4 linked regions of the Elephas maximus indicus genome follow. The protein of the gene in region 3 interacts with the protein of the main gene of each other region in a pairwise test. Links are inferred from orthologs where the notes say so. Each region holds a gene or a part of one and is shown on either strand. Other genes may lie near its edges. The genes, in order: MTA1, GPKOW, SH3GL1 and EEIG1.

Region 1 (7,360 bases), on a different chromosome or scaffold from region 3:
ACCTTGGGGCCCAGTCCACAAGCATGGTTCTCTGGGAGCTGCCAAGCAGGCTCGGGAGGGATCAGCAGTTTTGGAGTGCCATTTGAACGTGGGGCAGTGACAAGGCGGACCTCAGGGCACCCTTGGGTGTGGGACAACCACTGGACTGACTCGGGGGGCTCCTGGGAGGGTAGGGTATGGGACCCAGGCCCCTCATCCAGGCCCTGAGGGCCACAGGGCCTTCATCAGGCTTCAGCCGGACACCCCAGGGGCCTGGCATGGCCACCGAGAGTGAGGCACAGCACATCTGTGGCACCATAGCATCCTGAGGGCATGGCCGGGGCGCAGTGCTCCATATTAAGGGATAGGAACCCTAACCTACCGGCTTTGTCGTCTACAAATAAAGGGAAAAAAAAGCCCCTTACTCAGGGAGGGCCCAATCATCTCATGGCTGGGGGATCCACGCCCACCCCCATGGCACTGCCCGGTCACTCTGCAAGCCCACACCAGGTGCTAGGCCAGGGTCAGACATAGGGATGGGAGGCCCCAACCAGGACTTGCTGGGAAACCTGTGCTGTATCCTAACCAGGGCTGGGTCCCTACAACCTGGGTAAGTGAGGGTCGGGCAGGCCTCCCTGGAAGAGGTCTCCCTAGAGGTGAGAAAGGTCCGCACACAACCAGACACAGCAGGAGGGCAGACAGAGCTCTCGTACAAGTGGGGGAAACTGAGGCCTGGGGGGGCCTGAGGTGTGGACCAGGTTGGGCTGACCTGAGAGGCCACATTCTGCAGGTGGCCTCTCCAGCTGGCCTGGGTGGGGGCACATCCCATGGACCCACACTGTGAAGCCTGCACAGGGCCAACTCCCCTAGGCTGTCCGTTCCAGGGCCTTCTGCACCCTGGAAGCACCAGCGCCACCACAGCCCCAGGCCAAAGGGCCGGCCCTCGGCGAGCCGTAGGGCCAGCTCAGGCCACGAGGGCTGTAGAAGCTGCAGGGCAGGGGCTCTGGGCCAGGGGCACCTGCTCAGTGGTGAAGGGGGCCAGCATCCAACGGCCCTGGGGTGACCTCACGGCCCTGATTCCACCCTCTCCAGCCCAGCACAAGGGAATCCGAACCCGGCCTCTGCCCTGGCCTTCCACCCCCAGCCACCATGTCATTCATTCACTCAACAAGGAGACCTTAAATCAGGGGCTAGAGACTGGGAACCTGAGCTGCTGAGAAGACCACTCTGCAGAAGGCAGCCTGGGCCCTGTGAGTGGAATGGAAATTGAGCCCAGGACCATTGGGCAGCTGGTAGTACTGGCAGGGCCCAATGGGCTCTGGGGCACGACAAGTGGAGCTACCCCAGAGGAGGGAGAGGGGCACCTGCAGGGGCAGTGAGGAGCTGGTCAGGACACAGGAGGACCCCAGCTGGTGGGGAGTAAGGGAGCCACAAATGGTGCTCCCCCAAAGCCACGCATTCAGGGGCAATGGCACCCATCTCTGGGGGGTGGTGCGGCTGGTGGGAGGGTACCTGCTCTGGTGACACACAGCACCTCTCCAGGGAGAAGACAGATGGGGGTGAGGACGGCAGGCCAGCAACCAGCCCAAGGTCAGAGCCCGCCTGGCTGGACCAGGGGGACCCCCAAACGCCTGTCTCTGCCAGAGTCACCAGCAGCAGAGCCATCGCGAAAGGGAGAAAGCGTCCTGGGCACCCAGGGTCAGAGTGACCAGGTGGGGGCAGGCCAGTGGGGGGCAGTGAGGACAGACGGAACATCCCCTTTTCACCCCCCACCCCAGCACTGCCTAGGCCTGACACACCTCCACAGCAGGGCACCACACCCAGCCCCTCACAGTGAGGAGGCTGAGGGACTGGGGGGTGGAGAGCTGCAGGTCTGGGGGTGATGCTGTACCCGAGGGTCCAAGCAGGGAAGAGCATGGGCCTGAGCATGGCTACTCAGTTCCCTGTAAAAGAGTGAGCAGAGGAACCCCCAGGATCCCACAGAGCCCCTACAACCGAGGGCAAGGCCAGGCTAGGGACCTCCTGGCACTGAACCACAGGACAGGCAGATCTGGGGGCTGTACCCCCTGACCCTGTGCCCATTCCCCAATCCTTGCAAAGTGTCTCCATGACGGGCTAGCGTTAGTGGGAGCCAGGGAAAAGTTTGGGGCAACTCAGAGACAAGCTCTGGGTGACCGCGTGCTATGACGGCTCTGCAAGGGGACACTGCTGTGGGGCCCCCACGCAAGCACGCAGCCCAAGCAACTCTGGGTGTCCCGGGGGCCACTCTATGCTGTGCCAGGGGCTCCGAGGGAGGAATGCTGGCCTTGGGGCGCATGAGCACCCTATCCCTCGAGAGGGACCTGTTCCCATCCCAGCATATGGGCCAACCCGCACAGCCCCAGGGGGACCCCAAAACTCCTGCTCCCAGGGTGCCTACGAGGAGCCTCCAAGGCCACGTGCTCCAGAGGGGCTCCACAGCCCCTGGCCCCAGGCCCCAGGCCCCAGCTGAAGCCCCTGGACCCAGGTGCCTCCGGAGATGCCCCGCCACCAGCCCGCGCCTCCGCGCGCCTCCTCCGCAGGGGCCCCACAGACCACCCACTCGGCCCCCAACAGGTGGGCAGAGCCCCCGCCTCCCGCCGGCTCAGCGCGCCGCCCGGCCTCCGGGGGCCATTTCGGGCCGGGGCGACATGCCGGGGCGACGCGCGCGAGGGCCAGGCCACTCCGAAGAGAAGATGGAGGGGCAGGGCAGGGGTGCCGGGCGCCGGGGGGCGGGCGTTGGGGTGCCGGGCGTTCGGGTGCCGGGCGGCGGGGTGCGGCCGGCGGGCCTGCGTGGGGGAGGGGCGGGGTGGCGCCGGGGTCCCCGGCGGGCGGGGTGGGGGGCCGAGGCGGGGGCCGGCATCGGGGCGCAGGGCCGGGGCGGCGGCGGGGGCGCGGGGGCGCGGGCGGCGCGGGGATAAAGGCGGCGGCGGGCCCGGGCGCGGCCTTACCTCCGACCCTGTACATGTTGGCGGCCATGTCCGCGCCGGCGGCGGCGGGAGGCCGGCGGGCGGGCGGGCGGGCGGGCGGGAGGCGGGAGGCGGGCGGGCGGCCGGGAAATGGAGGCTCGGTGCGGGGGCGCGGGCGGGGGCCGCGGGCGGTTTAAAGGGGCCGCGCTGTGCCGCCGCCGCCGCCGCCGCCGCCACCGCCGCCGCCGCCGCCGCCGAGGCCGCGCAGGGACGGGAGGCCGGCGCGGGCGGGAGAGGAAGAGGAGGAGCGGCCGGCGGCGGCGCGGCGCGGGGAGGGGCCTCGGGCGCCACCGCCCACCGCGCGGGCCGTTATCCGACCCCGCGCGCCGCGCCCCCGCCCCTCAGCCGGCGCCCCCACCCCTCGCCCGGCGCCCCCGCCCCTCGCCCGGCGCCCCCACCCCTCAGCCGGCTCCCCCGCCTCTCAGCCGGCTCCCCCACCTCTCATGCCGGGCCCCTGCCCCTCAGCCGGCGCCCCCACCTCTCAACCGGCTCCCCCACCTCTCATCCCGGGCCCCCACCCCTCAGCCGGCTCCCCCACCTCTCATCCCGGGCCCCCGCCCCTCAGCCGGCGCCCCCACCTCTCAGCCGGTGTCCCCACCCCTCAGGCTGCTTCCCGTTCCTGTGCCCTGTGGTGTTCCCTGGACATCCTAGACGGCCAGCAGCCCCATCTTAATGTGGACAGTGCCTGACTGTCTTGGGCCTCTGTTTCCTCTTCTGTCAGGCCCCCCGGTGGGCTTGTTCTGAGGGTCCAGGGCAGTTAGCTTGGGCCTCTGGCGCAGCATAATAAGGGGTAAATGTTAGCGGTGAGGATACTGCCTCTCACTCACTCCACAGATCCCAGCTGAGGGCTCCCTGTCTCAGGAGCAGGGAATAGCAGTGGGTAAGGCCCTGAGGTCACTCTCCAGAAGGCCCTGCCTGAGGCCAGGGTCCAGCAGCCTCACCTGTGGAAGGCCTCATTGACTCACGAGGGCCAAAGTGGGGCTGGGAGGTGTGACGCCCAGTGAACAGGGAAGGCAGGAGAGTCCAGGCCAGGAGAGACGATCCCACTGTCCACAGAGAGGCACCCAGCTTTTGCCCCAAGGCTGGTCACAATTTGTAACCGTGTATTTGTTTTTGTGCTTACTTGCTAAGGTTTGGGGAGAATAGAGAATCCCGTGGCCCAGATACCACCAGCAGTGAGAAGCATGAGATGGCCAAGGCAGCAGCTCAGACTGGGCGAGTCCCAGCCCGGACCAGCATCAGCGTCAGAGAGGGATAAAGAGAGTTAGGAGTGGCTCCAGGTGGGCAGCTGGAGCAACAAGTGTTATTACCCCATTCACCCAGCTGTGTGAGGGCTTTGGGAGCAGGAACATCCTTATGGGACATCCAATGGAGGCCTTGGGGCGGCGGGGGTACTCAGGAGGGAGCTGGTTCAGGAAGGGATGGGAGGGACATGGTCAAGGGCCGTGGTCGTGCTAAGATCCCAAGGACAGAGCGGGGATGAGAAGGGGCCTGGGGCAGAGCGCTGAGGGCCCCCACCACGGAAAGTTCTGTACAGAAGGAGCCAGTGAGGTGCGAAGGGAGCCAGAGTGGGCTGGAATGACAGCCAGGAAGGGGTTCCCAAGGAGGGAGCTGGTCAAAGCATCATGTGCCATGGAGTGGCCAGGCAAACCAGAAAGGGGAACACCACAGTGAGCAATGGGGCTTCATCGATGCCTTGGCTACAAGGGCTGTCTTGGTGGCTCGAGGGGGCCAGACTGGACCCAGTCAGGGGGGGCTAGTAGGGATTGCAGGACAACCAGTTCTCCAAGAAGCATAGCTGGAAGGACAGTGGCGGGGGGAGAGGGACCCTTCCTTTCAGATACCAGGGTCGAGGTTACGTTTGGTTGTGATGGAAGGGACTAGAAAAGAAAGAGAAGCTTAGGTGCAGGAGAAGGCCAGTTGCCTCCCAACTCCTGAGGACCCCATGTGCGTCAGAGTAGAGATGAGCACCACAGGGTTTTCAAGTCTGTTACCTCTCAGAAGCGGATCGCCAGGCCTTTCCTCAACTCTGGGTGGACTCGAACCTCCAACCTTTCAGTTGGTAGGTCAGTGCATTCGCCATTTGCACAACCCAGGGACTTCACAGAAGGGGACGATAATATATAGGCAAAGTTTCCAAAACCAGTGAAAGAAGGAGTCGTCCCCTCTAGTCAGCAAAGCTGCAGCATAAAATGTCTTTCCCCTAACACCTAACAAAGTAATCAAAAGTCAGGACTAGCAAAAAAAGCGTCCAGGTGAGCTAGCGGCACAGAGGAGCAACTCATGCCATGAATGTCCAGGTGAGCTATTGGCACAGAGGAGCAACTCATGCCATGAACGAAAGGTGAGCTATTGGCACAGAGGAGCAACTCATGCCATGAACGAAAGGTGAGCTATTGGCACAGAGGAGCAACTCATGCCATGAATGTCCAGGTGAGCTATTGGCACAGAGGAGCAACTCATGCCATGAATGTCCAGGTGAGCTACTGGCACAGAGGACAACTCATGCCATGAACGAAAGGTGCCGAAGACACAGAAGATTCTAGCAAGGATTGGGAAAGTGGCTCTGGCTATGTCAGAGACTGAACTGTGTCCCTCAAAAATATGCGTCCTAAGCCCTAAACTCTATGCCTGTGGTTTGCATGAGAAAGCTGGACGATGAATATGGAAGACCGAAGAATTGACCCCTTTGAGTTGTGGTGTTGGGAAAGAATATTGAACATACATACCATGGACTGCCAAAAGAACAAACAAATCTGTCTTGGAAAAAGTATGACCCGAATACTCCTTAGAAGCAGGGATGGCGAGACTATGTCTCACATCATGCTTGATAAAAAGGAGGGTCAGTGAAAAGAGGAAGGCCCTCAATGAGATGGGCTGACACAGTGGCTGCAACAATTGGCTGAAGCTTAACAATGATGGTGAGGATGGCACAGGATTGGGCAGTGTTTCGTTCTGTTGTACATAGGGTCACTATGAGTTGGAACCAACTTGATGGCACCTAACAACAACAACATGCCTGTGATGATAATCCCATTTGGGAATGGGTTGTATTTCTTATGTTAATCAGGATTAGTGTAGTGTGTATTTTGAGTTAATCTCTTGAGATCTAAAAGAGGTTAAACAAGCATGTGAAAAGTGGAGATGGGAGAAGAGAGATGCCAAGCTACATGAAGACTGCCCAGGAGCAGAAGCTCAGAAGAGACAAGGACCTTCCTTCAGAGTTGACAGAGAAAGACTTCTCCTAGAGCCAGTACCCTGAATTCAAACTTCTAGCCTTCTAAACTGTGAGAAAATAAACTTCTGTTTGTTAAAGTTATTCATCTTTCTGTTATAATAGCAGTAGATAAGTAAGAATTTGGTTCCAGGAGAGTAGGGTGCCACTCTGATACCTAAAATGTGGAAGCGGTTTCAGAATTGAGTAATGGGTAGAGGCTGGAAAAGTTTTAACGTGACTGATAGTAAAAGCCTAGGTTGCCTTTAAGAGACCGTTGGTAGAATTATGGACATGAAAGGCAATTCTGGTGAGGGCTCGGCAGGAAGTGAGAAGAGCTATAGAGAAAGTCCCTATGAATTAGATGATACATATGGCACCAGCAACAGAATTTTGATGGAAATGTGAATGTTAAGTGTGCTTCTGATGAGGCTTTAAAAGAAAATGATGAGCATATGATGGACAATGGGGGAAGGGTGATGATTTTTATGCAGTGGCAAAGAATTTGTCTGAATTATATTCAAATGTTTGTTGGAAGGTAGAACTTGTAAATGATGAACTTAGATATATGTCTGATGAGATTTCTAAGCAAGATCTTAAAGGAGCTGCATAGTTTCTCCTTGTCACTTATAGTAAAAAAAAGAGATGGACTTAAAAATGAATGGTGCAAAATGAAAACAGAACTTAAAGACTTGGAAAATTCTGTTGTACAAGCTAAGGACATGTGTCCTGGAATGTTCACCAACGATGTGGCTACACAATCTTGTGTTAAAGAGATTAAGCCTGTGACTGATGGAGCTAACCAACTACCACAGCAGAAAACTCACTAGCTTAAACTGAAGGGGGCAGGGAAAGAACTAAAGAATGCTGTTTGCCTTTTGGAATTCTACAGGTAGGAAAAAGGCCAAAGAAGCTACATTTGTTGTCCTCCAAGAAAAGAAAAGGACCATTCCTAGATCAGCTTGGAAATCAGCATTACTGTTGGAAGGAGCACAGGAACCAAAGCCTTCTTGATTTCAAAGGATGGGGCCATGCAATCCTGGATCTCAAAGGGTGGGGCCACAACCTCCTAGGTTTCAAACAGTCAGATATTCACAAACTGAGTTCTGAAGTGTGGGGCTGCCATTAAAGTGTGCCAGGGGATACGGCTGCTGCCAAAGCTGAGGGGATGGGGCTGCCA
Region 2 (7,040 bases), on a different chromosome or scaffold from region 3:
CAAAGGGAAACATCTTTCTGGTATTCTCTGCTTTCAGCCAAGATCCATCTGACATCAGTGATGATATCCCTCATTCCGAGTCTTCTTCTGAATCCGGCTTGAATTTCTGGCAGTTCCCTTCATGTATTGCATTTGAATGATCCTCAGCAGATTTACTTGCATGTGGTATTAATGATATTGTTTGATAAGTTCCACTTTCTGTTGAATCACCTTTCTTCAGAATATGCATAAACATGGTTTTCTTCCAGTCAATTGGCCAGATAGCTGTCTTCCAAATTTCTTGGCATAGACAAGTGAGTACTTCTAGGACAGCATCAGTTTTTTGAAACATCTCAATTGGTATTCCTTCAATTCCTGAAGCTTTGTTTTTCACCAGTGCTTTCAGTGCAGCTTGGACATCTTTCCTCAGCACCAACGATTCTTTTTTTTTCATTCCCTGCTCCTTTTTTTATTGTAATTTCAGCAAAAGTTTACAGAGCAAATTCATTTCTCATTAAACAGTCAACTCACAAATTGTTTTGTGACATTGATTGCCAACCCCACAATGTGTCAACACTGTCCCTTTCTCCACCCCAGCTTCACTGTTTCCATTTGTCTAGTTTTCCTGTCCCTTCCTGCCTTCTCATCTTTGCTTTTGGGCTGCTGTGCCAATTATTTTCATATACATGATTGAACTATGAAGCACGTTCCTCACATGTGTTATTGTTGGCGCTATAGACCTGTCTGCTCTTTGACTGAAGGATGAACCTCAGGAGTGACTTCGGTACTGAGCTAAAAGGGTATCCAGGGGCCATACTCTTGGGGTTCCTCCAGTCTCTGTCAGACCAGTAAGTCTGGTCTTTCTGTGAGCTAGAATTTTGTTCTACATTTTTCTCAGCTCTGTCCGGGACCCTCTTTTGTGATCCCTGTCAGAGCAGTCAGTGGTGGTAGCCAGGCACTGTCTAGTTGTGCTGGACTCAGTCTGGTGGAGGCTGTGGTAGCTGTGGTCTATTAGTCATTTGCACTAAACTTTTCTCTTGTGTCTTTGGTTTTCTTCATTCTCCCTTGCTCCAGATGGGGTGGGACCAGTGGAGTATCTTAGATGGCCGCTTACAGGCTTTTAACACCCCAGAGGCTACTTGGTAAAGTCTTTTGATGAACAAAAGTTTTTAATTTATTTGTCCCATTTATTCGTTTTGTCTTTTGCTGTTTGTGCTTTTGTTATTATATTAAATAATCCATTGTTAAAAGCTAGGCCTGACAGAGTTGCCCCTACTTTTTCTTCTAAGAATTTTATGGTTTTATATTGTACATTTTTTGCTTGCATGTGGTATTAATGATATTGTTCTACAATTTCCACATTTGGTTGGATCACCTTTCTTGAGAGTAGGCGTAAATACGGATCTCTTCCAGTCAGTTGGCCAGGAAACTGTCTTCCATATTTCTTGGCATAGATCAGTGAGCATCTCCAGTGCTGCATCCATTTGCTGAAACATCTCAGCTGATATTCCATCAATTCCTGGAGCCTTGTTTTCACCAATGCCCTCAGTGCAGCTTGGACTTCTTCCTTCAGTACCATCAGTTCCTGATCATATGCTACCTCTTGAAAGTTGAACATCAACTAATTCCTTTGGTATAATGACTGTGTGTATTCCTTCCATCTTCTTTTGATGCTTCCTGTGTCATTTAATATTTTCGCCATAGAATCCTTCACTATCGCAACTCGAGGCTTTAATTTTTCCTTCACTTCTTTCAGCTTGAGAAACACCAAGCGTGTTTGTCCCTTTTGGTTTTCCATCTTCAGCTCTTTGCACATGTCATTATAATACTTTACTTTGTCTTCAAAAATGGCTGCAGCAGTATATCGACAGGGAACTGCCAGAAAATCAGGCCGGTTTCAGAAGAGGACGTGGAACCGGGGATATCATTGCTGATGTCAGATGGATCCTGGCTAAAAGCAGAGAATACCAGAAGAATGTTTACCTGTGTTTTATTGACTATGCAAAAGCATTCGACTGTGTGGATCATAACAAATTATGGATAACATTGTGAAGAATGGGAATTCCAGAACACTTAGTTGTGCTCATGAGGAACCTTTACATAGATCAAGAGGCAGTTGTTCAGACAGAATAAGGGGATACTGCATGGTTTAAAGTCAGGGAAGGTGTGCGCCAGGGTTGTATTCTTTCACCATACCTATTCAATCTGTATGCTGAGCAAATAATACGAGAAGCTGGACTATATGAAGAAGAACGGGGCATCAGGATTGAAGGCTCATTAACAACCTGCGTTACACAGATGACACAACCTTGCTTGCTGAAAGTGAAGAGGACTTGAAGCACTTACTAATGAAGATCAAAGACCACAGCCTTCAGTATGGATTGCACCTCAGCAAAAAAAAAAAAAAAAAATCCTCACAACTGGACCAATGAGCAACATCATGATAAACGGAGAAAAGATTGAAGTTGTCAATGATTTCATTTTACTTGGATCCACAATCAACAGCCATGGAAGCAGCAGTCAAGAAATCAAAAGACACATTGCATTGGGTAAATCTGCTGCAAAGGACTTCTTTAAAGTGCTGAAGAGCAAAGATCTCACCTTGAAATCTAAGGTGCGCCTGACTCAAGCCTCGGTAGTTTCAATTGCATCGTATGCATGTGAAAGCAGGACAATGAATAAGGAAGACCGAAGAAGAATTGACACTTTTGAATTGTGGTGTTGGCGAAGAATATTGAATACACCATGGACTGCCAGAAGAACGTACAAATCTGTCTTGGAAGAAGTACAACCAGAATGCTCCTTAGAAGCAAGGATGGCGAGACTGTGTCTTACATACTTTGGACATGTCAGGAGGGATCAGTCTCTGGAGAAGGATATCATGCTTGGCAAGGTGCAGGGTCAGTGGAAAAGAGGAAGACCCTCAACAAGGTGGATTGACACAGTGGCTGCAACAATGGGCTCAAGCCTAACAACGATTGTAAGGATGGCTCAGGACCAGGCAGTGTTTCGTTCTGTTGTGCATAGGGTCGCTATGAGTTGGAACGACTCCACAGCACCTAACAATGACAACATTTTGTACATTAGGTCCTTAAACCATTTTGAATTTTTGTGTGTGCATATAGTGTGAGGCATGGATCCTGTTTCATTTTTCTGCATGTGGAAATCCAGTTTTCCCTAACACCATTTATTGAAGAGACTCTTCTTTTCCCATGAAATGGACTTAGCACCTCTGTCAAAAATCAGTTGACCATAGACTTGTGGGTGTATTTCTGGACTCTCAATTCTATTCCATTGGTCTCTGTGTCTATTGTTATATCAGTCCCAGGAAGTTTTGATTATTGCAGCTTTATAATATGTTTTAAAATCATGAAGCGTGAGTCCTCCTACTCTGTTCTTCTCTTTCAACATTCCTTTAACTATTCGGGGCCTCTTGCTATTCCACGTGAAGTAAAGGGGTGAATTTTTCTGTTTCTGTAAAGAAGACTGTTGGAATTTCGGTCGGGATTCAGTTGAATTTATAGATCACTTCGGATAGTATTGACATCTTAACAATATTAAGTCTTCCACCCCAAGAACATGGAACATCTTTCCATTTATTTAAGTCTTAATCTTTTAGTTTTTTTTTTTTTTAATAATTTTCATTGTGTAAGTCCTTCACGAACCTGGTTAGGTTTATTCCTAGGTTTTTTTTTTCTCTCTCTTACATGTTGTTGTAAATGGTGATTTTTTTCTTAGTGATTTATTTTATCTACACTTTCCACATCAGTAGGGCAAGGTGCTCAGTAAATATTGTCATATGCCTACATGAATGAATTAATAACTGCCAGTGGGTTAGAAATGAATCGCCCTTCCAGCACGTCCGTATAGGTCGCTCTGAGTCGAAGGTGTGTTGTTGTTGTTTTCGTCCAGCACACCCATCCCCTGAAGAACTACATTTCCCGGGATGCTTGTCTTGGCGCCTTCATATGAAGTGCCAAAAGAGCGACATTAGTTGTTATGGCCCCCATATCCGCCGTCGCCGGGGTCGCAGTGTTTTATGGGAAAGGTAGTTCTTGCGCTGTTCGGCCGGCACTCAACGAACAGAGCCAGACTGAACTTCCTGGCAAACAGCCCCGCGACCTGGCAAGCGGGGCAAGATGGCGGACGCTGAAGAGGGTGTTTCGCGGCCGGCAGCGGTCTCTACCGCCCCAATTTCTTTTGGCTTTAGTCGCACGTCCTCCCGGAGGCGGGTGGTGGACCTAGGAGACAGAGCGAGGGCCGCCCCGGAGGAGAAGGATTTCTTGAAGACTGTGGAGGGAAGGGAGCTGCAGAGGTGAAGCGCTGGTTCCCTCACCCCCTGGAAATCGGTGCGGTGGGCTCAGGAGGGATGGCGGTATCTGAGTTGCTTGTCATAGTGAAGGTGGCCTTGAAAGCCTGAAGCACAGCCTGAGGAAATTCGTGGAAGCGAGAAGGCGCGAGTTTGTAGGAGGGGTGGGGAAATTGGGCCTGATAGCGTGGGAATTGAGAAGAGGGGATGTATTAGTGACAGGGAGTGTCTTTAGGACTTGGGGACCCTAAGGTGTGTGCGTTCTAAGAGAGAAAAAGGAGAGGAGGATGACAGGATCCCCTAGTGTCTCAACTGAAGCGATGGGGCTTCTTCGGTATGGGGAACGGGATAGAGCCGCAGATTCAGGTTGAGGGAGGCCATTTATCAGCTTAATACGGAAAGGGGAGCCTGAGGGACCTGAGAGAGGGGCTTCTAGAAGAAGGCGAAGGTGAGCCACTGTGGAAGCCATGGAAGTGGGTCTTGGAATGAACAGAAAGTCCAGAACTGATTCTCTGAAGGAACCATTTAAGAGTTGGAGAAGGAGGAAGAATCCAGAGAAGATACCAGCAGAGACATAACAGGAGAATCATTCAAGAGAATGGAGGGCATGTTCCATGGGGCAGGGGATGAGTTTGACTGTTGTATTTTCTCTGGATAAAGGGATGTGGCTCAGAACCCACTGACCACGTTAACTCTCCCAATCTCACTCCTCTATGTTGGCATCAGTGTGAAGCCCTCAGAAGCCCCTAAGGAACTTGTCATCCCTTTGATCCAGAATGGACATCACAGGCAGCTACTGACCCAGACCCCTGGACCATCCACAGATGCTGAGACCTTAGTGGATGGGGTGCTGCTGTCCCAGGCTGTGAAGGAACTCATTGAGGGTAAGTGACCTCTACCCCTCACCCTGCCCCAATAATGGCAGAAGGGGAGGAAGGGTAGAGTGGTACCTCATTGCTCCCTCCTGTTCTTCCTTAGAATCCAAGAAGTCTCTGGAGGAGAGAGAGAATGAAGGTGTCGACCCCACGCTCGCTATCCCCATGATCCAGAAAGGATGCATCCCCAGTGGGGAAGGGGCAGACAGTGAACCCCAGGCTGAGACAGTGAGCTGGCCCCTTTCCTCTCTCCTGCGCCAGCCCCTCTTCGCCCTATCTACCAGGCTTGCCTCCCTGCAGGAAAAGTCTGTGTGAATTAGAAGCCTGCTGCCTATCCCCTGCTCCTTTTATCCTTTTTAGAATCATTTTTTTAATCCAAATACTGGGGTTTGGAAAAAGTACATGGATTCTTGGGCTAACTGAGTGAGATGTAGAGGAGAAGGAGCAGGAAAAACAAAGGCCCTGAGGTTAGACTCTGCCTGGGGTGTTTGAGGAACACCAAGGAGACCGTGCTGGCTGGAATGGAATGAAGGAGGGGAGGGTAATAGATGAGATCAGAAAGGTAGTGGAGGCTAGACCATGTAGTGCCTTGTGGGCCATGGTAAGGACTTCGGCTTTACTGTGTGTGAGGTGAGAGCCATAGGAGGGCTCCTAGCAGAGGAGGAAGGTGACCTGACTTACAGCTTGACAGGGACCTTCTGGCTTCTGTGAACAGAAGAGACTTGTATGTGAAGGTAGAAGCAAGTGGACCAGTGAGGTGATTATTGCAATAGTCCAGGCGAGAGATGATGGAGACTTAGATCAGAGTGAGGCCTGGAAGGATAGATGAGATTTACTGAGAGGGGGAAGAGCAGGGTGAGTACTCCTAGTGGGAGCAATGGCCTGGCCAAAGGCCGGGTGTCAGGAAATCAGCATGGTTTGTGTCCATCAGGGAGGCAACTTGTAGTAGACCTGGAGCTAATGGCAAATGCAAAGCATCGAGAGGGGTGATAGTGGGAGGTGATAACAGCAAAGGTAAGGGGTGTGTCCACAGAAGTAACCAAGTCTGTCTTTTGTCCCTATGGGCCCCACTTTTTACCTCTTCATTCACAAATGTTTTGCAGTGCCTTTTGGGGGCCTAGTTCTCTTACAGCCCCAGACTACCCTTTCTACTGAACTTTTCTCATCAGCCTTCAAATGTGTTCTGGTTTCATTGCTCTTAAAAACAAACAACAACAACACCCCCACTTCACTGTTCATTCTCTTCCAGCTTTGGCCACATTTCCCTAATTTTCCCTCCTACAAATCTCCTCCCACAGCCTTCCACATATCAATTGTTCACAACTTCATCCTTCCTCTTGCTCAGTCATCCTTGGAGTCATCCTTGAATCTCTTCTTCATTTTATACCCCATATACAATCCACCAGCAAAATCCTCATCTCCCTTTTCAAAATACATCCAGAATATGACCACTTCTCACCATCACTACTACCACCACCCTGGTCTGAGCCCCCATCATCTCTCATCTGGAGGACTGCAGTAACTTCCTCATGGTTCCTCTTCTCAAAACCTGCTTGTGGCTCCCACCATACTCAAAAGTTCTGCCCAGCACTCCTGATAGTCTCTTACTGCCCCTCTCACCCTCCTCCCTGTTCATCTCTGTTGCAGTCATGTTGATTTCATGAGACTTCATGCACACCAAGGCTGGTCTTGCCTCAGAGCCCTTCCTCTTACTGCTCTCTCTGATTGGAGCCCTCTTCCTTCCATATCCTCATGGCTCCCTCCCTTCTCTCCTTCTGGTCTCTGCTTAAATGTCAATTTCTCAGTGATACTCCCTTCTCCATCCTTCTGCATACCTTTCACTTGCTTAATCTTTTTTCATATAACTCATCACTACC
Region 3 (7,753 bases):
GGCCGCAAGACCAGAAGAACCAGACGGCGTGCAACCACCGTCACTGAACGTTTGGTTCAAGGCATCGATCAACTAATCCCAATCAAAAGGGGGGAAAATGAGGAACAGGATTGCAAATTCTCACAGATGCCAGACTTACTGTACCTTCTGAGACGAGAGGAACCCCTGAATCTACCGTTCAGCGGAAATTTTCAAACTATGAACTGAAATTATCCCCTAAAATCATCTTTCAACAAACATTTAGCTAACTCAGCAGAGCATGTTCACCACGAGCACTGCGTTCTTTTAGAGAATTATCTATATGATATCCAACTGTCCACGCTAAAGCACAGATGAGAAGTTGAGGGGAGAGCGAGTCTAAGTCAGTGATGGCGAGACAAACAACATGGGCAGAGACAGCGAGAAAGGAGAGGGGATGAACGTAACGAGTGTTACTGAACTATACACGCAGAAACTAAGGAACAGGCCTAAGTTCTGTGGGGCATATTTTCACCAAAATAAAAATTAAAAAACAGAACAAAAACCGTATGGAACACAGTTCTACTCTGACATACGTGGAGCCGTGAGTCAGAATCAACTCCAGAGCAAATGCTTCTTATGTTCCTTCATTTTTCTTCCTTCTGACGACTCCAAGTTGTGGATGGTGCTCAGACAATTCCTAGGATCATCGCTTATCCCTCCCTGGAGTCCATCCACACAAACTCCACACCTAGGACTCTTAACCCGGGATGCACGGAACAACAGGCTTCAAGAGAGCTAGGGACCCTCTGAAATTAATAAACAAAATCTTGCATTTGCCCAGTTTCCTACCCACAGCTTTCATCAGATCCGTAAACAACGGGGCTTGGACTTTCCGAAAATATATATATTGTCTGTCAGGTATAAAATGCATATAATCTTGGATTCAGCGTTCTACTTCTGGGAATTTATTCTATATATCCAATCCTACCCACAAACAAAGACACTCACTGGCTATTCAGTATAGTGTTGTTTGGGGCAGAAAAGTACTGAAAATAATCTAAATGTCCACGAACAGATAACAAGGTAAATAAACCATAGAGGAGCCCTGGTTGTTCAATGGTTAAACGCTTGGCCGCTAATTGAAAGGCTGGTGGTTCTAACTCGCTCAGCTGCTCCACCGGAGAAAGACCTAGGGATCTACTCCCATAAAGATTCCAAAAACAAACTCACTGCTGTCAAGTTGATTCCGACTCATAGTGACCCTACAGGACAGAGTAGAACTGCCCCATAGGGTTTCCACAGCTGTGATCTTTACGGAAGCAGACTGCCACATCTTTCTTCCGCGGAGCAGCTGGTGGTTCCAACTAGACTTTTCACTGGCAGCCGAGCACTTAACCACTGTGCCACCAGGCTCTTGGATAGAGATTATAGCCAAGAAAATCCTATGGGGCAGTTCTACTCCATCACACAGGGTCGCTGCGAGTGAGAATCAACTTGACAGCACCCAACAAGAAGAACAATGACATACTCCATGGGATGGAATACTACATATACCTGTTAGAAAGATCCGAGAAGCTCTAGGGGGTTAGTGCAATCATTCTGGCAAGGAGGAAGAAAGAAAGGGAAGGTGATTCTGTCCCACTCTTCGCAGGACACTAGCAATGTCTGGAGACATATGTGGTTGTCGTGACTGGAAGTAATGCTACAGGCATCAACTGGGTGGAGGCCAGGATGCTGCTCAACACCCTAAAGTACACAGGATGGCCCCACCCCAGAGAAGGATAGGGCCTCACATGTCAATAGTGCTGAGGCTAATAAACCCGGCTCTAGTGCAATCTCCAAGCCACATTTAAGGAAAAACACAAGGTATACAAGAACATATAGAATGGTGGCACAACGGTTAAGCACTCGGTTGCTAAGGGAAAGGTCGGTGGTTTGAACTCGCCTGAGAGGCTCTGCGGGAGAAAGACCTGGCGATCTGCTCCCACAAAGATTACAACCTAGGAAACCCTACCATGCAGTTCTACTCTGTCACGTGGGGTCACTATGAGGCGAACCTTGATTCCATGGCACCTAACAACCATTGTGTGTGCCTTTTAAAATAAAGGTACACACACATCTTTGGAAGGAGACAAAAGAAATGGGTAACACAGTCCTTGTCCCTGGGGAGACGGACAGGATGCCTGAGGGATAGGGAGGGAGCCTAACTTCAGTCGAAATCGACTTCGTGGCACCTAACAACAACCAGAGCCATTGTGTGTGCCTTTTAAAGTAACGGTGCAGACACATCTTTGGAAGGAGATGTAAGAAACCCGTGACAGTCCTTGTCTCTGGGGAGAGGGATCAGAGGGACGGGCTGGGAGTCTAACTTTACCCTTTCCGGTTTGGACCAGCTCGGCCACAAGGATTTTTTAAAAATTGCTTTAGATACAGATTTTCCCTGCCCCCCGGGCTATCTGGCAAGAGTAGGTTCCGGTGTCGACAGCCTCCAAGCACAGTGCTTCCCCTTCTCCGCGCCCCCCCACCCCAACTTCACAGGGGAGAGGTGCCCGTCCCTGGGCAACTGTGGGTGCAGCTCTGCTCCGTCTCTGCTCACCCTTCTCGAGGACACTGGAGCCCCCATGGCGGGCAGGGCCTGCGCCCCCTCGCAGCCCCCCGCTCCTCCGGGGCGCCCCCACCCTGCGGGGGACACGTGCCAAGGCCGCCACCTCGGCCCCCTCCCGAGCCTGGGCTGGGCCCCGGACTCCCGGCAGCCTGTCGCTCCGCGCTCGGTCCCCGCTCGGTCCCCGCTCACCTGGCTCGCCTTGTAGAACTGCTTCTTCAGCCCCGCTACCGACATGCTGCCTCCCGCCGTCGGGCCTCCCGCCCGGACAGAGCGACCTGGACGGACCGACCGCCTAATCGACAAGTTCCCGGGCGCCACCGACCCCCGCGCGCCTCAGCGGCCCCTCCGGCGCCGCCTCAGCCGCTTTCTCTCCAGCTCCGCGCCTGCCGCTGCGCCGCCTCAGCCCTCGCGCGCCCGCGCGGCCAGGATATTACATGGCAACCGCACACTTCCGGCGCCGGCCCCCGCTCCCCCCGGCCTCTTCTGCGCACGCTCGCCCCCTGTCGGCCGGGGAGCGCACGCGCGTTTGGGCAGCCTTGGGAAGAGGCCGCCCACACCAGCGAGTGGCCCAGTGCGAGCCTAGAGGGGACGTCGCAGCTGCAGCTTCCCCTGCAGTCCCGGAGGTGTCCCTCAATTCCTAGGATAGGCACTGAAACCTTGGAAGTGGGGAGAGGGGGTGTTTGAGAAGTTAATCCCTGGTGGTGTAACGGTCAAAGTCTAGGCTGTTAACTGGAAAGGTTGGCAGTTTGAACCCACCCAGCAGCTCCGCGGAAGAAAGGCCTGGCGATTTTCTTCCTAAAGATTACAGCCTAGAAAACCCTGTGGGGTAGTTCTACTCTGTCACATGCCGTCACTAGGAGTTGAAATTGACCATAGCGTGCAACAACAACCTCGGCTATTCCCAATTCCTCTGTGTGTTTAGCCCCTCCCCCCACCCTGCTCTGTGTTCATCCATTCATTTGCCTAAGTCAGACATCTGTGTTTAGCGTCTACCTCCTTTCCACCATCCCCACTGCCCTTCTTGCCCTGGCCCAGACCATTCCACCAGCCTCCTTGCTGGTGTCCCCACCTTAAAATCATTCCCCACAAGGCAGCCATAAAGATGCTTCTATAACACAATTTAGATCGCATCATTCCCCCGTTTAAAATCCACCTACTGCCCTCAAGATATATTCCAAACTTCTTACTCCATCTGCAAAACTTGAATAATCTGGCCTCACCAACCTTTCTGACCTCAACTCTCTTCCTGTTCCATAATCAATGATCCCAGATGCCTATGGGCCTTTGCTAAGATTGTTTTTCTTTTGCATATTCTTCACCAGTCTTTCCCCCGTCCTTTGTGCATAAAAGGAAACCTTGGTGGTGTAGTGGTAAGTGTGACGGTTGCTAACCAGGAGGTCAGCAGTTCAAATCCATCAGGGACTCCCTGGAAACTTTATGGGGCAGTTCTACCCTGTCCTATAGGGTTACTATGATTGAAAGTGACTCAATGGTAGCGGATTTTTGTGCATAAAAGAGGACGCAGCTTGGCATGGCACCTCCTCCAGGACCCCTTCCCAGATCTGACACATGTTTGTTGATATTGTTTTTATCAATTGTTGTTGGTAAAATTTTTGTTGAATGAATTGGACATGAATAATGAATGGGAACGACCAAATGAATCAGAAAGAGACCCAAGAAAGTGATTAGAGCTAAAGGGCTTGTGATTTCTATGCTTAAATCTCTGAAAGGTGTGAGTGCTTTCCTGAAGGAAGAAGATTGCTAGGCATTTCCAAATACCTCAATTGAAGACATGTTATAATGCGGTAAATACAGGGTAGCTTTGCTAACTGCCTTATGTTTATACCCTTATGTTATGGACTGTATTGTGTCCCAAAAAAATGTGTGTCAACTTGACTAGGCCATGATTCCCAGTATTGTGTGACTGTCCACCATTTCGTGATTTGATGTTATTATCCTATGTGCTGTAAATCGTAACCTCTATAATGTTAATGAGGCAGGATTAGAGGTAATTCTGTTAATGAGGCAGTAATCAATCTATAGGATTAGGTTGTATTTTGAGTCAATCCCTTTTGAGCTATAAAAGAGAGAATGGAGCAGAGAGGGGAGGGACCTCCTACCACCAATCAACAGGAGGGGGACATGTCCTTTTGGGCCCGGCTCTCTGCAATGAGAAGCTCCTAAAACAGGGGAAGATTGATTACAAAGACTTTCCCCCAGAGTCAACAGAGAAAGAAAACCTTCCCCTGGAGCTGGCACCCTGAATTCAGACTTGAGAGAATAAATTTCTCTTTGTTAAAGCCATCTGCTTGTGGTATTTTTGTTATAGCAGCACTAGATAACTAAGACAATTTACCACCGTGATTCTCAACCAGACGTGATTCGCTACCCTCCCAGGAGACGCTTGGCAGTGTCTAGAGACATTTTTGGTAGTTACAACTCGGGAGGGGGGGTGTGCTATTGGCATTTAGTGGGTAGAACCCAGGGATGCTGCTCAACATCCTGCAATCCATAGGCCCCCTCCCCAAGCATGATCTGCCCCCCAATGTAAACAGTCCTGAGGTGGAGAAACCCGGCACTACCATGACATGTATCATCAAATGGCGGAAGAGCCTGCTGATGGGCCTATCTCCTGGAGGCATGGGACAAAGGTTTTATTCAGCATTGTAGTAGCACCTTGCCTGATGACAATCAATATTTGTTGAATAAATTAATGAATTTTTTTCCAGCATCTGGAGGGGACCTGACACACAGAGAGTACACAATGAGAGTTTATCGAAAGGATTAGAGATGAATTGGAAAGAATAGCAAGAATGTGATTAGGGACAAAGTACTTGGAACTTCTATGCCGAAATCTCCTAGATTTAGGTGATTTTCTGAATGCGGAAGGTTGTTAGAAGTTTCCAAATGGCTCAATAGAGATGCTGGACTAGATTAGTCAGAAGGTTGCTTCAGAATCTCCAGGAGTTTTTTCAGTACTGGCTTCACTCCCAAGATCCTTATGCACTAGGTGGTGCTGTTATGAATAGTTTGAGAAACCTCCCATGTGATTCTGACATACACCCTCAGCTGTGACCCACTGGTCTAAATCATCACAGAATGCCAGAATGTTAGAGACGGGACGGAAAACATCCTCATGATCCAGATGGAGAAACCTGAGTCATGTGACATGACCTGACTGAAATGATATTCCCCAATTTCCTATTTCTCAATGCTCCTCTCTCAACAAGTTCTACCGATTTAATTATCCAATCTACTGCAATAAACTTCCAAACTCAGGCTAAATTTCCCATCTTTCCTCACCCCTGTTTCTCTCAAACATTAAATGAGTGCTGAAGCAAACCTATTTCTAAGAATTGCAGGTTGACACTGAGGATCTCTACTGAGCGTCTCCTCTGTGTGAGGCTTTTAACCTGCGTGATCTCCACAGGTCAATCAAATGATATTTATTCAATCAGATATTTATTGAGCACCTACTATGTATGTAGAAGTCCTGGGGTAGCGGTGGTTAAGCTCTTAGGCTGCTAACTGAAAGGTGGGAGAAATATTTGGCAGTCTGCTTCTGTAAAGATTTATAGCCTTGGAAATCCTAAATTGGAAAATTAAATAAAAATTTTTTTTTTTTAGTAGACACTTAGAATCTCTAAGTGCTTAAAAAAAAAAAAAAGTGTTGTAGATGCCTGATCTGGTTGGGGGTGGAGAGGGAAAGTCTTCTCTGAGGTGTTACCTGAGATCTGAAGGTTAGGTACAAATTAGAAAGAGCTGCGGAAAGAGGGTTTTAGGCAGAGAAAACAGCATGTCCCGAGAATTTAACCCGAAACTTGCATTTCATTCGCTCCGAATATATTTACTACATGTCAAAGCCCTCTGAAGCGCTGCCCAGTTTTTATTTTATTGCTCATTAACAAGTAATTTGTAATATTAATTGCTGTTGGGTATTAAACTCAAAACTTCAGATCGTCTTCTAAACCGCAGTTTTTCAAGCTGTCACCCGGCGTCTTACGTGACACGTTCGCGTCATGACGTTAAGCCTGGCCCTCCCTCCCCCCTGCCGACTTATCCCACGCACTTCAGCCAATCACAGTGCTTATCTCTAAGCTTGACACCTTCCTTCGCCAATCGCAGGGCATGTTCTCTCAGCCAATGACAGGCTGCCGAGAGAAAGTTCCCCCGCCCGCGGGAATATCAATAGACGAGCCATGGGAGGAATGGAGGCAACGGCTCTCGCGAGGATGTTCCCGGCGCTCCCCTCTTCCCGAGACGGGCTATCACGTGACGCGCCCTCGCCCAATCGGCGCGCGTTCTGCGGGGGTCGCCGCGGTTCCCGCCAAATACGAGCGCGGCGGCCGCGGCAGCAGCGGCGCGGGCGGGAGGGCGAGCAGCAGCGGCCGCCTGAGGGGAGCCCGCGCCTCCGCCGCCTCCCCCGCCTGAGGAGGGATCGAGCCGCCGCCGGAGCGATGCTGGAGGAGCCGGAGTGCGGGGCGCCGGGCGCCAGGGGAGCCGCCGCAGGTGGTCGGACCGGGTCCGGGTCCGGGTCCGGGCCCGGGGGAAGGGGGGGGCGCGGCGCGCGGCCTGTGAGGGCCGAGGCGGCGGCTGGGGGCTCCGGGCCTCCGGGCTCCGGGCCTGCTCCTCCGCGCCGGGCGCTCAGCCCGTGGGGCCGGCCGTTATAATCCCGACCAAGGGCCTTGTGACCCGCAGGGCGCCCTGCTTGACGTTATTGTTGCGGCCGCGACCATGTTTTTCCGGCGCTTTTGCGTCAGTTCGTCTTTCCAGGGCTCTGGGGGGGTGACCGGTCCAAGTGGGGAAACTGAGGCCCAGGGAGGCAAAAAGGCCGGCTTTTGGAAGTTACCGAGTGCTTATGGGGCCCCTGAGCCTTGCAGCGACCTTCTGGTCGGGTGGGGAAACTGAGGCCCGAGACCACACGTCTGCGGGTCAGGGCAAGTCCAGGTAAGAGGGCAGGGTGGTGGGGAGTGTCAGAGAGCTGAGATCCCCGCGGTGCTGATCTTGCCTGCTATGCAAAATGATGAGCTGCCTTCTCCCCCCACCCCGTATTTGTCGAAGGGTCTTTCTGTCTGGCACACAGCGGGCCCCCCAAAACGTGGGGTGAACCACGGAAGACCAGACTGCCCGCCTCTCCCACCGCTCAACTCCCCATTGGGTCCCAGCACCTGGCACAATGCTTGGCAC
Region 4 (7,684 bases), on a different chromosome or scaffold from region 3:
ATCTGGCTCAAATGGCATAAAATAGTTTATAAAGAATATGTTCTATATTCTACTTTGGTGAGAAGCATCTGGGGTCTTAAAAGCCTATGAGCGGCCATCTAGGATACTTCACTGGTCTCATCCCTTCGGGAGCAAGGAAGAATGAAGAAAACTAAAGACACAAGGGAAAGATTAATCCAAAGGACTAACGGACCACATCTACCATGGTCTCCGCCAGACTGAGTCCAGTACAACTAGATGGTGCCCAGCTACCACCACTGATTGCTCTGACAGGGATCACAATAAAGGGTCCCTGGCAGAGCTGGAGAAAAATGTAGAACAAAATTCTAACTCAAAAAGAAAGACCAGACTTGCTGGCCTGACAGAGACTGGAGAAACCCTGAGAGTACGGCCCCCGGACACACTTTCAGCTTAGTAATGTGGCCACCCCTGAGGCTCACCCTTCAGCCAAAGACTGAATAAGCCCATGGAACAAAACAAGACTGAAGGGGTGCACCAGCCCTGGCGCAGGGACTGGAAGGCAGGAGGGAACAGGAAAGCTGGTAATAGGGATCCCAGGGCTGAGAAGGGAGAGTGTGGATATGTTGTGGGGTTGTTAACCAATGTCACAGAACAATGTGTGTACTAATTGTTTGATGAGAAACTACTGTGTTCTGTAAACCTTCATCTAAAGTACAATAAAAAATAAAAATAAAAAAGATCAACAGCCCTAGGCTGATTCCTATAGGCAGAGGTCACACATGCTTCCTCATTCTCCCCTTTTTACCAATTCTGACACCAACCGTCCCTTCCATGGCACTCTCACCTCGCTGTGGCTGCTGTGCAGAGACTGGATTGTCAGGGGGCAAAAACAGAAGGAGGCAAACAGGTAAGGAGGCTGTTACAGCCATCCCAGCAGGAGACTCTGGTGGCTCAGACCAGAGTGGAGACAGAGCAAAAGGGAGAGAAGAGGGGCACATTTCTGAGGACATGTTTCAGAGGAAGAGCTGACCCCTTGTTGAGCAATGGTAATAATTATTCAAAATCATGGTCAAGGCTAAAGGAGCCCTTATGTCTGTCTAGCGTCTCAAGAAGGTAGGACATGCCAGGCTTGGGAATTTGGGCTGCTGGGGGAAGTGGAAGTGCTGGGCTGGAGTTTCCTGCTCAGATTCCTGTGTCCCTCCAGGCCTGAGCTTTTCACAGGAACAGCATCCCGAAGTCCTCACAAAACTCTAGAAAGAGTAGTATTGTTATTCCCATTTTACAGGGTTAACTATGGTTTAGAGATGGATAAAGTTTGTGTGACATAGGCAGTCAATAGTGTGCCAGCTGGACTTAGAACCCAGGTCTACTGGCTCCAGGGGAAATGGTCCCAATCATACCATAATGACCCCCCTCCGAGCCTCAATATTCCAAACCAAAGCTACACTGCCCATTGCAGCAGAGCCAGAATTCTAACTCAGGCCTGTCTCACCCCAAATCCAGCATCTTGCCCTGGCACCACTCCTCCCTCACTGAGAAGCGAAGGCAAGAGAAACTTCCTGGGTTCCCAGCCCACAGGCTGCAGGGAGATAAATGCCCAACCCGTGCTAAGTCTGGTAGTCAGGCCCACTCTGCTTCCTGTTGGGGCAGCCAGAGGTTATTCATGGTCACAGCCCAGGAATCAGTCAGGCCTCAGGACATCGTTGGCTGGTTCCTTCTTCTGAAATCTTCCCTGGGGTGAGAAGCCACAGGCTCTACCCCCATGGAGCAGGCTCAGAGAGGGTAAGAGTGGGCGCACAGCTTAAAAAAAAAAAGCTTAGCACTCTAGAAACTGCACTCCAGGGTCAAGACCTTAGTGAAGTGATTTAAACTCTTCAGGCGTCAATTTCCCTTTCTGTAAATGGGAATAAATAGTAGCACTGGGAGTTGCTATTATCATTTTTCTCCCATTGGGTTGTGTTTTCTAAATGATGGGAGAAACTGAGAGAAGCACGGATCACCACTCATTTTATGCCTAGGAAAGCTGAAAGGGGAACATGGGAAGAAATTAGAAACTTGAGTCCTTGGTTACATGTCCAGACCTAACTCATCCCTAAATTCAGCCTAATCTGCCTCCTGAATGCTTCTCAGATCCATTGTCCCGTTCTCCCCCCAGTACTGAAATTCTATCATCATCTCTTGCCTGGATCACCACATCTGGTCCCTCACTCCCGTATCTGTTTCCCATCTCCTCTCCACACTACCTATAGCCAGAGAAAGCTTCTTACAATGAAAAGCAAATCTGACATGTTACTGACCTGCTTAAAACCTGTTAGTAGCCCCCCAGTGCCCTTGGGAAAATCTAAACTCTTCACTCTGGTCTACAAGGGCTCTGTAGGATACGGCTGCTGCTGGCTTTTCTAGTCTCATATCTTGCCTCTCTCTAAAATCACAATGCAGCCATTTGGGACTTGGAACTTTCTGTAGGCACTCCGTTCTCTCTGGCCACCAGACCTCTGTACATGCAGCTCTCTGCCTGGATCCTACATGCATCCTGCAGGTGGCCTGCATCACCTTATGTGAGAAGCCTTCTCTCTGAGCACCCTGTCTCCCCCTCAGGTCCCTCCTTTGAGCTCCCCTGTTGTTGTTAGGTGCCTTCGAGTGGGTTCTGACTCATAGCAACCCTATGTACAACAGAAACACTGTCCTGTCCTGCACCATCCTCACAATCGTTGCTATGTTTGAGCCCATTGTTGCATCCACTGTCAGTCCATCTTCTCGAGGGTCTTCCCCTTTTTCGCTGACCCAATACTTTACCAAGCATGACGTCCTTCTCCAAGAACTGGTCCCTTCTGATAACATGTGCGAAGTACATGAGATGAAATCTCACCATCCTCCCTTCCAAGGAGCACTGTGGCTATACTTCTTTCTAGACTACTGCATGTCCAGTATTACAGCTCTTATCCATCAGATTTACAACTGCCTGTGTCCTCATCTGTTTCTCTATCTTGAGCCTGGAGAGGGCAGGCCCATGGCGCTCATGTTAAGTCCCAGAGCCTGGTTCAGAGCAGATTACCCGCTAAACATTTGGGACCTGCATGAATGAACTATACAGTACGTCGAGTGCCTTCTTTGTGTCAGGAGATACGAGGCTCTGGAAGCAGTCCCTGCCTCCAGAGCAACTAGGTAATCCAGTCAGGGAAACAAGCTATAACTAGGCAAGAAACTAAACGACAGTAAAAGGCTTGGATAACAGCTTGGGATGAAAGAAGCTGGGTCACAAGGTTGTGTCACCTCGGTGAAGCCTATTCAGACACTTTTCAGTGCTCTAAAGTTAAGATTTGGAGACGAAAGACTTGGGTCCAGTCCCGGTTACCCCTCTGCAAGTCAGTTTTCTGAAAAAATGGGACTATCTTCTGGGCCTGAAATCTGCAGGAATACTGGAAGGCCGTTCCAGCGATAGTTTTCATACCGTTTCTCCTCCTCATTGTTTCTTCTTTTCTTCTACTCGCGCTTTCCTCCCTGCCCAAGCAGACCCAGCTCCCCGCCCCGCGACCTCCCACAGCCTTCCCGGGGCCCCTCTTCTTTTCCCTCCGCCCCGCCCCAGCGGAGGAGGCGGACCCAGCTGTGCAGCACACCAATCACAAGGCTCTTAGCCGCCTCTGTCTCCCGCGAGTCCCGCCTCACGCCGCCATCCACCAATCGGAAACAGGGACGCTGCTCCGCTCCCGCCCCGCCGGGCCGCCCAATCACGGGCAGGCTGGGCCGCCGGCGCCCCGCCCCTCCCGCGCTCAGCGGCGGCTCCGCGGGCGGCCGCGCAGGGCCTCGGCATTCTCGCAGCGGCGCCGCGCAGCGTCGGGCTTGGGCGGGCAGCGGCAGCGACGTCGGGGGCGCAGGCGGCAGCGCTGCTGCTCACGGGGTGCTGGGCAGAGGCGGCGGGCGAGGTGAGCGCCACCGGCCGGGCCGGAGAGGTGCCTCAGCTCCGCCAGGGCCCCCAGCGCGGGATCCAGGACCGAGTAGGAGGCAGCGTCCCCGCTGCCCAGGGCCGGGCCCGGGGCCCGCCCGGAGGAGGCTGACGACCGGACGTTCCCGGCCTGAGCGCGGACTCCGGACCGGAGACCCCGGTCCGGAGCGCCCCCGACGTGTCTCCTGGAGAGGCCCTCCCCCGAGCTCCCGGCCGCCCCCTGGGGGTGCTCTCAGCTTACCCCTGCACTCACCTGCGCAGGCCGCCTGGCATCCAGGTGCGGGGGCGTGTGCGCGGCGAGGGTGCCTCCCCCGGCCGCCAACGGGGCGGGGGCGGGGCCGCCCTCAGCCCTCAGCCTCGCCGGTCTCCCAGTCGCTTTCAGTCTCACCGGTCCGCCCGCCGCGCCTGGTCGCGCGGCGTGAGCTCCCCGGGGACCGCGGCTCGGGATGCTGCCCGCCAGCGCGGCCGCTCGCGCACCGCCAGTCACCCCTGCTCTTGCCTACTGGGCCATGCCCCGCTGTTTACATGCCGGTGAAGCCCCCGGCCGCTCCGAGCCCCTCCGAGCTCCGGCCCCCCGCGGGTGAAGCCAGCTGACCCGCGAACTGGACTGGACACTCAGACCCCCACCCGTTCTGCCGCCTCCGCCACCTTTTGGGCGGGATCCTGCTCTAGTGTTTTGAGGAGGGGGTGTGGTGTAGGGAAAGGAATCCTGGGGATTTCTGCCCCCTTTTTTTCCTTGGCCTTCGGGGCTTCAGACTCAGGGAACTCGCCCATGGCTTTCTTGATGAAAAAGAAGAAATTCAAATTCCAAACCACTTTTACCCTGGAAGAGCTGACTGCGGTCCCCTTCGTGAACGGGGTCCTCTTCTGCAAGGTCCGGCTGCTGGATGGCGGGGATTTTGTCAGCTTGTCGTCAAGGTAGGAGCTGGGGGTGGTTGTGGCCCCTGTGGAAGCCTGGTGCCTGGAGGGGAGGGGAGTGATGAGCGAAACACATCCACTTGGCAAGAGTGAAAGGGCCCCTTTGGGGGCCAGGGAGAGTCCTGTGGATTGTGTATGTGTGTCTTCAAGGGATTGCACAATGCTGGACTGGCCGATTGGGAGGCTTGGGCCTGAAGAAGCGGGCAGGGTGCCGGGCTGCAGGTGACCGGCTGGATATCTGGGGGGTCTATTCTTTCAGCCCGCGCTTGGGGCCCTGCATGCAGCCCTCAGTAGACCTATTCTACAGACTTGCCCAATGAGCCCAATGGAGTTTGTGCCTTCAGAGGATGGTAGGGGGAGGGATGCCACCTGGAACAGCCCCCCCACTTGCCCTTGCACCCCAGCTGGCCACTTGAGATGTCATATGATTTAGAGCCTTCACCAGCCGCAGGTTTCCCAGCACTCCCCAGTGGCTGGGAAGGCCTTGGGTGGCTGGAGGGAGGTGACTGGATTTTGGCCCTCCCAATGTGGCATAGTGGCATAGTGGTTAGGTGTTATGGCTGCTAACCAAAAGGTCAGCAGTTCGAATCTGCCAGGTGCTCCTTGGAAACTCTATGCGGCAGTTCTATTCTGCCTTATAGGGCCGCTATGAGTTGGAATCGACTCGATGGCAGTGGGTTTTTTTTTTTTTTTTTTTTTTGGTTTAATGTGGCGTAGTGGTTAAATGCTACAGCTGCTAACCAAAGGGACGGCAGTTCGAATCCGCCAGGCGCTCCCTGGAAACTCTATGGGGCAGGTCTGCTCTGTCCTATAGAGCCGCTATGAGTCGGAATCCACCGGATGGCACTGGGTTTGAGTCCCCACTGAGTCCCTTTCTGGCTAGAGCTGGGCTACTTTGCATTGCAAATATCCTTGTACAGGAGGCTGCTGTCTGCTCTGAAAGAGGCTCTTTCCAGTTGGGTTTTGTGTCCCTCCCCATCCTGGCAGGTCCAGCTGCCCAGCTTATTGCTGAAGGTGACAGAGTTCCTGGACTATGCCCAGCTGGTTGGGTCCCCTCCCCCCCAACCTAGTTCTGGCCTGCTCAGGAGAGACCCTTGGAATCTAACAGATGGGAGTTCAAATCCTGGTTCAATCACTCTCTGGGCCTCAGTTTCCTCTTCTGGAAAACAGGCCTAATACAAGTCCCTTCTCAGAGAGCTCTGAAGTTTCAGTGAAAGATAATGCAATGCAGAGCCTGGTCCAATGCCTGGGACATGCTAGTTCTCTTCCCTGGTATGTCCCTTTGCTCCTTCAGGCTTCCTTGTGAGTTCAGTTAGTCAGAGCTGGCTCACTGTTCAAGGGTGAGGGTGTGTGCTGTAGACCTGGAAACCAAGGCCCAGAGGGAGGAAGAAGTGGCTTGCCAGGAACCTTGCAGGTGGCAGTTGACAATCTAACTTGGCCTGTTTGGGGACCTGTTGGATGAATCCGGAGGTTGAATGCACTGCTGGAGGAAGGGAAAGAAGTGTGTAGCCTACTCCAAGTTTGGGAATCTCTGTGTGGGCAGGATAGGACGCCCTTTCTGTGTGCTCTGGCCGCTGCTGAGGCCTGGAGGCTCCCCGCTCTGCTGGGAGCCACTTATCTGAGGAATTCGGACAGCCTGCCCTTCTCAGTGGGGGCAGGGACCGTCCTCAGTTGCTTGGGAAGCCGGCTGTCTGCAGCCACCCAAACGGGCCTAAGGCTGTGTCCGGAGCTAGGGCCTATAGTCTGCCATTCACTGGCTGTGTGACCTTGGGCAAATTACCTAGCCTCTCTGATTCTAAGAGCCAGCATTTATGGGTGCTGTGTTCCCCATTTTATAAGTACTTCTCATTTAACCCCGTGACTGTGCCATGGAGCAGAGGTGGGGAGGGGAGAGTGAGATTATTATCCTCATTTTACAGAAATGGACACCGAGGCTCTGAGAGGGAGCGACTTGCCTGAGTTGATATGTTGGAGCCCAGATTCATTCAAACTCAGGGTGTGCTTTTAACCACTACCCTGTTCTGCCTCTGAGTCTCAGTCTCCTTTTCTGTAAAATGGGGAAATCAGACCCTCCCTAGGCTTGTGATGGGGAGTGGATAATACAGGTTTCCTCCACTAACTGAAAGTAGAGCAGTTCTATGAAATCTTTCGTAAGCCAAAATGGTGTAAAGTGAAGAAGCAATTACCGATGATTTATATGAGAAAATTTTTTGAATGTTCCCAAGACCCAAAAAATAACCTGCCAAATCATACCAAGTAACACATAAAACCCTTATGATCTCTCTTAGGCTTTTCTGATACCTTTGGACACATCTTGCTAACAGATGCACAAAATAAATTGAGACAAAACAGAGAGGCTTGCAGACACAGTTCAAAGCTATGGCAGCTTGATGATGAGATGCTGAGTGTAGTTCCTGGAGAAGGAGCTTGGCAACCCCACTCTCACTGCTCTGGGTGTGTGCTGGTACAAAACAAATGCTGAACGCTATTTCCGCTTTTCACCTTTTCTTGTAAAAGTGAAAATCCTCTTTGGATTTCTTTTCATTAGCAAAAACACGTACTAACGTAGGTCTTTTGTAAAAGCAAAGTGGCATAAAGCAAACTTTTGAAAAGCAGGGGATACCATATATACCACATACCAGGTAAAGTACTGCAGCAGTTGAGGTTACTATGGGTAGTAAGTCCCAGGCCCCAGCTCCTTCCGTATCTTAGAGTGACCAGGTAGATTCTGCAGGGGGCCTGCATGTGTGTTGAGGGGCAGGGTCTTGGATACCACCAAGGAATTAATATCAAGCTCCAGACTGAGTTTTTGCCTGATCTCCTAGGCCCTGGAGCCTCTGTTCCCCTACCTATAGGACTTTC

What was found.
Region 1: the proteins of SH3GL1 (region 3) and MTA1 interact in binary tests that used the Homo sapiens proteins (3 or more experiments, as listed by UniProt). The two-hybrid records come from large-scale screens. The link is inferred for Elephas maximus indicus from reciprocal best matches to the Homo sapiens genes SH3GL1 and MTA1.
Region 2: the proteins of SH3GL1 (region 3) and GPKOW interact in binary tests that used the Homo sapiens proteins (3 or more experiments, as listed by UniProt). The two-hybrid records come from large-scale screens. The link is inferred for Elephas maximus indicus from reciprocal best matches to the Homo sapiens genes SH3GL1 and GPKOW.
Region 4: the proteins of SH3GL1 (region 3) and EEIG1 interact in binary tests that used the Homo sapiens proteins (3 or more experiments, as listed by UniProt). The two-hybrid records come from large-scale screens. The link is inferred for Elephas maximus indicus from reciprocal best matches to the Homo sapiens genes SH3GL1 and EEIG1.

The regions. Positions count from the first base shown.
Region 1 is NC_064828.1:119,710,084-119,717,443, reverse strand, and holds the start of MTA1 (metastasis-associated protein MTA1), read right to left. Parts: upstream 3,014-7,360; 5' UTR 2,977-3,013; coding exon 2,949-2,976; intron 1-2,948. UniProt on the Homo sapiens protein: Transcriptional coregulator which can act as both a transcriptional corepressor and coactivator. Acts as a component of the histone deacetylase NuRD complex which participates in the remodeling of chromatin.
Region 2 is NC_064846.1:122,468,679-122,475,718, forward strand, and holds the start of GPKOW (G-patch domain and KOW motifs-containing protein), read left to right. Parts: upstream 1-4,040; 5' UTR 4,041-4,118; coding exon 4,119-4,294; intron 4,295-5,014; coding exon 5,015-5,172; intron 5,173-5,266; coding exon 5,267-5,391; intron 5,392-7,040. UniProt on the Homo sapiens protein: RNA-binding protein involved in pre-mRNA splicing. As a component of the minor spliceosome, involved in the splicing of U12-type introns in pre-mRNAs.
Region 3 is NC_064821.1:7,416,074-7,423,826, forward strand, and holds the start of SH3GL1 (endophilin-A2), read right to left. Parts: upstream 3,015-7,753; 5' UTR 2,801-3,014; coding exon 2,756-2,800; intron 2,471-2,755; exon of another isoform or gene 1-2,470. Other genes in the region: CHAF1A (chromatin assembly factor 1 subunit A), read left to right, coding at 6,799-7,075. UniProt on the Homo sapiens protein: Implicated in endocytosis. May recruit other proteins to membranes with high curvature.
Region 4 is NC_064827.1:79,076,775-79,084,458, reverse strand, and holds the start of EEIG1 (protein FAM102A), read left to right. Parts: upstream 1-4,672; 5' UTR 4,673-4,676; coding exon 4,677-4,822; intron 4,823-7,684. UniProt on the Homo sapiens protein: Key component of TNFSF11/RANKL- and TNF-induced osteoclastogenesis pathways, thereby mediates bone resorption in pathological bone loss conditions.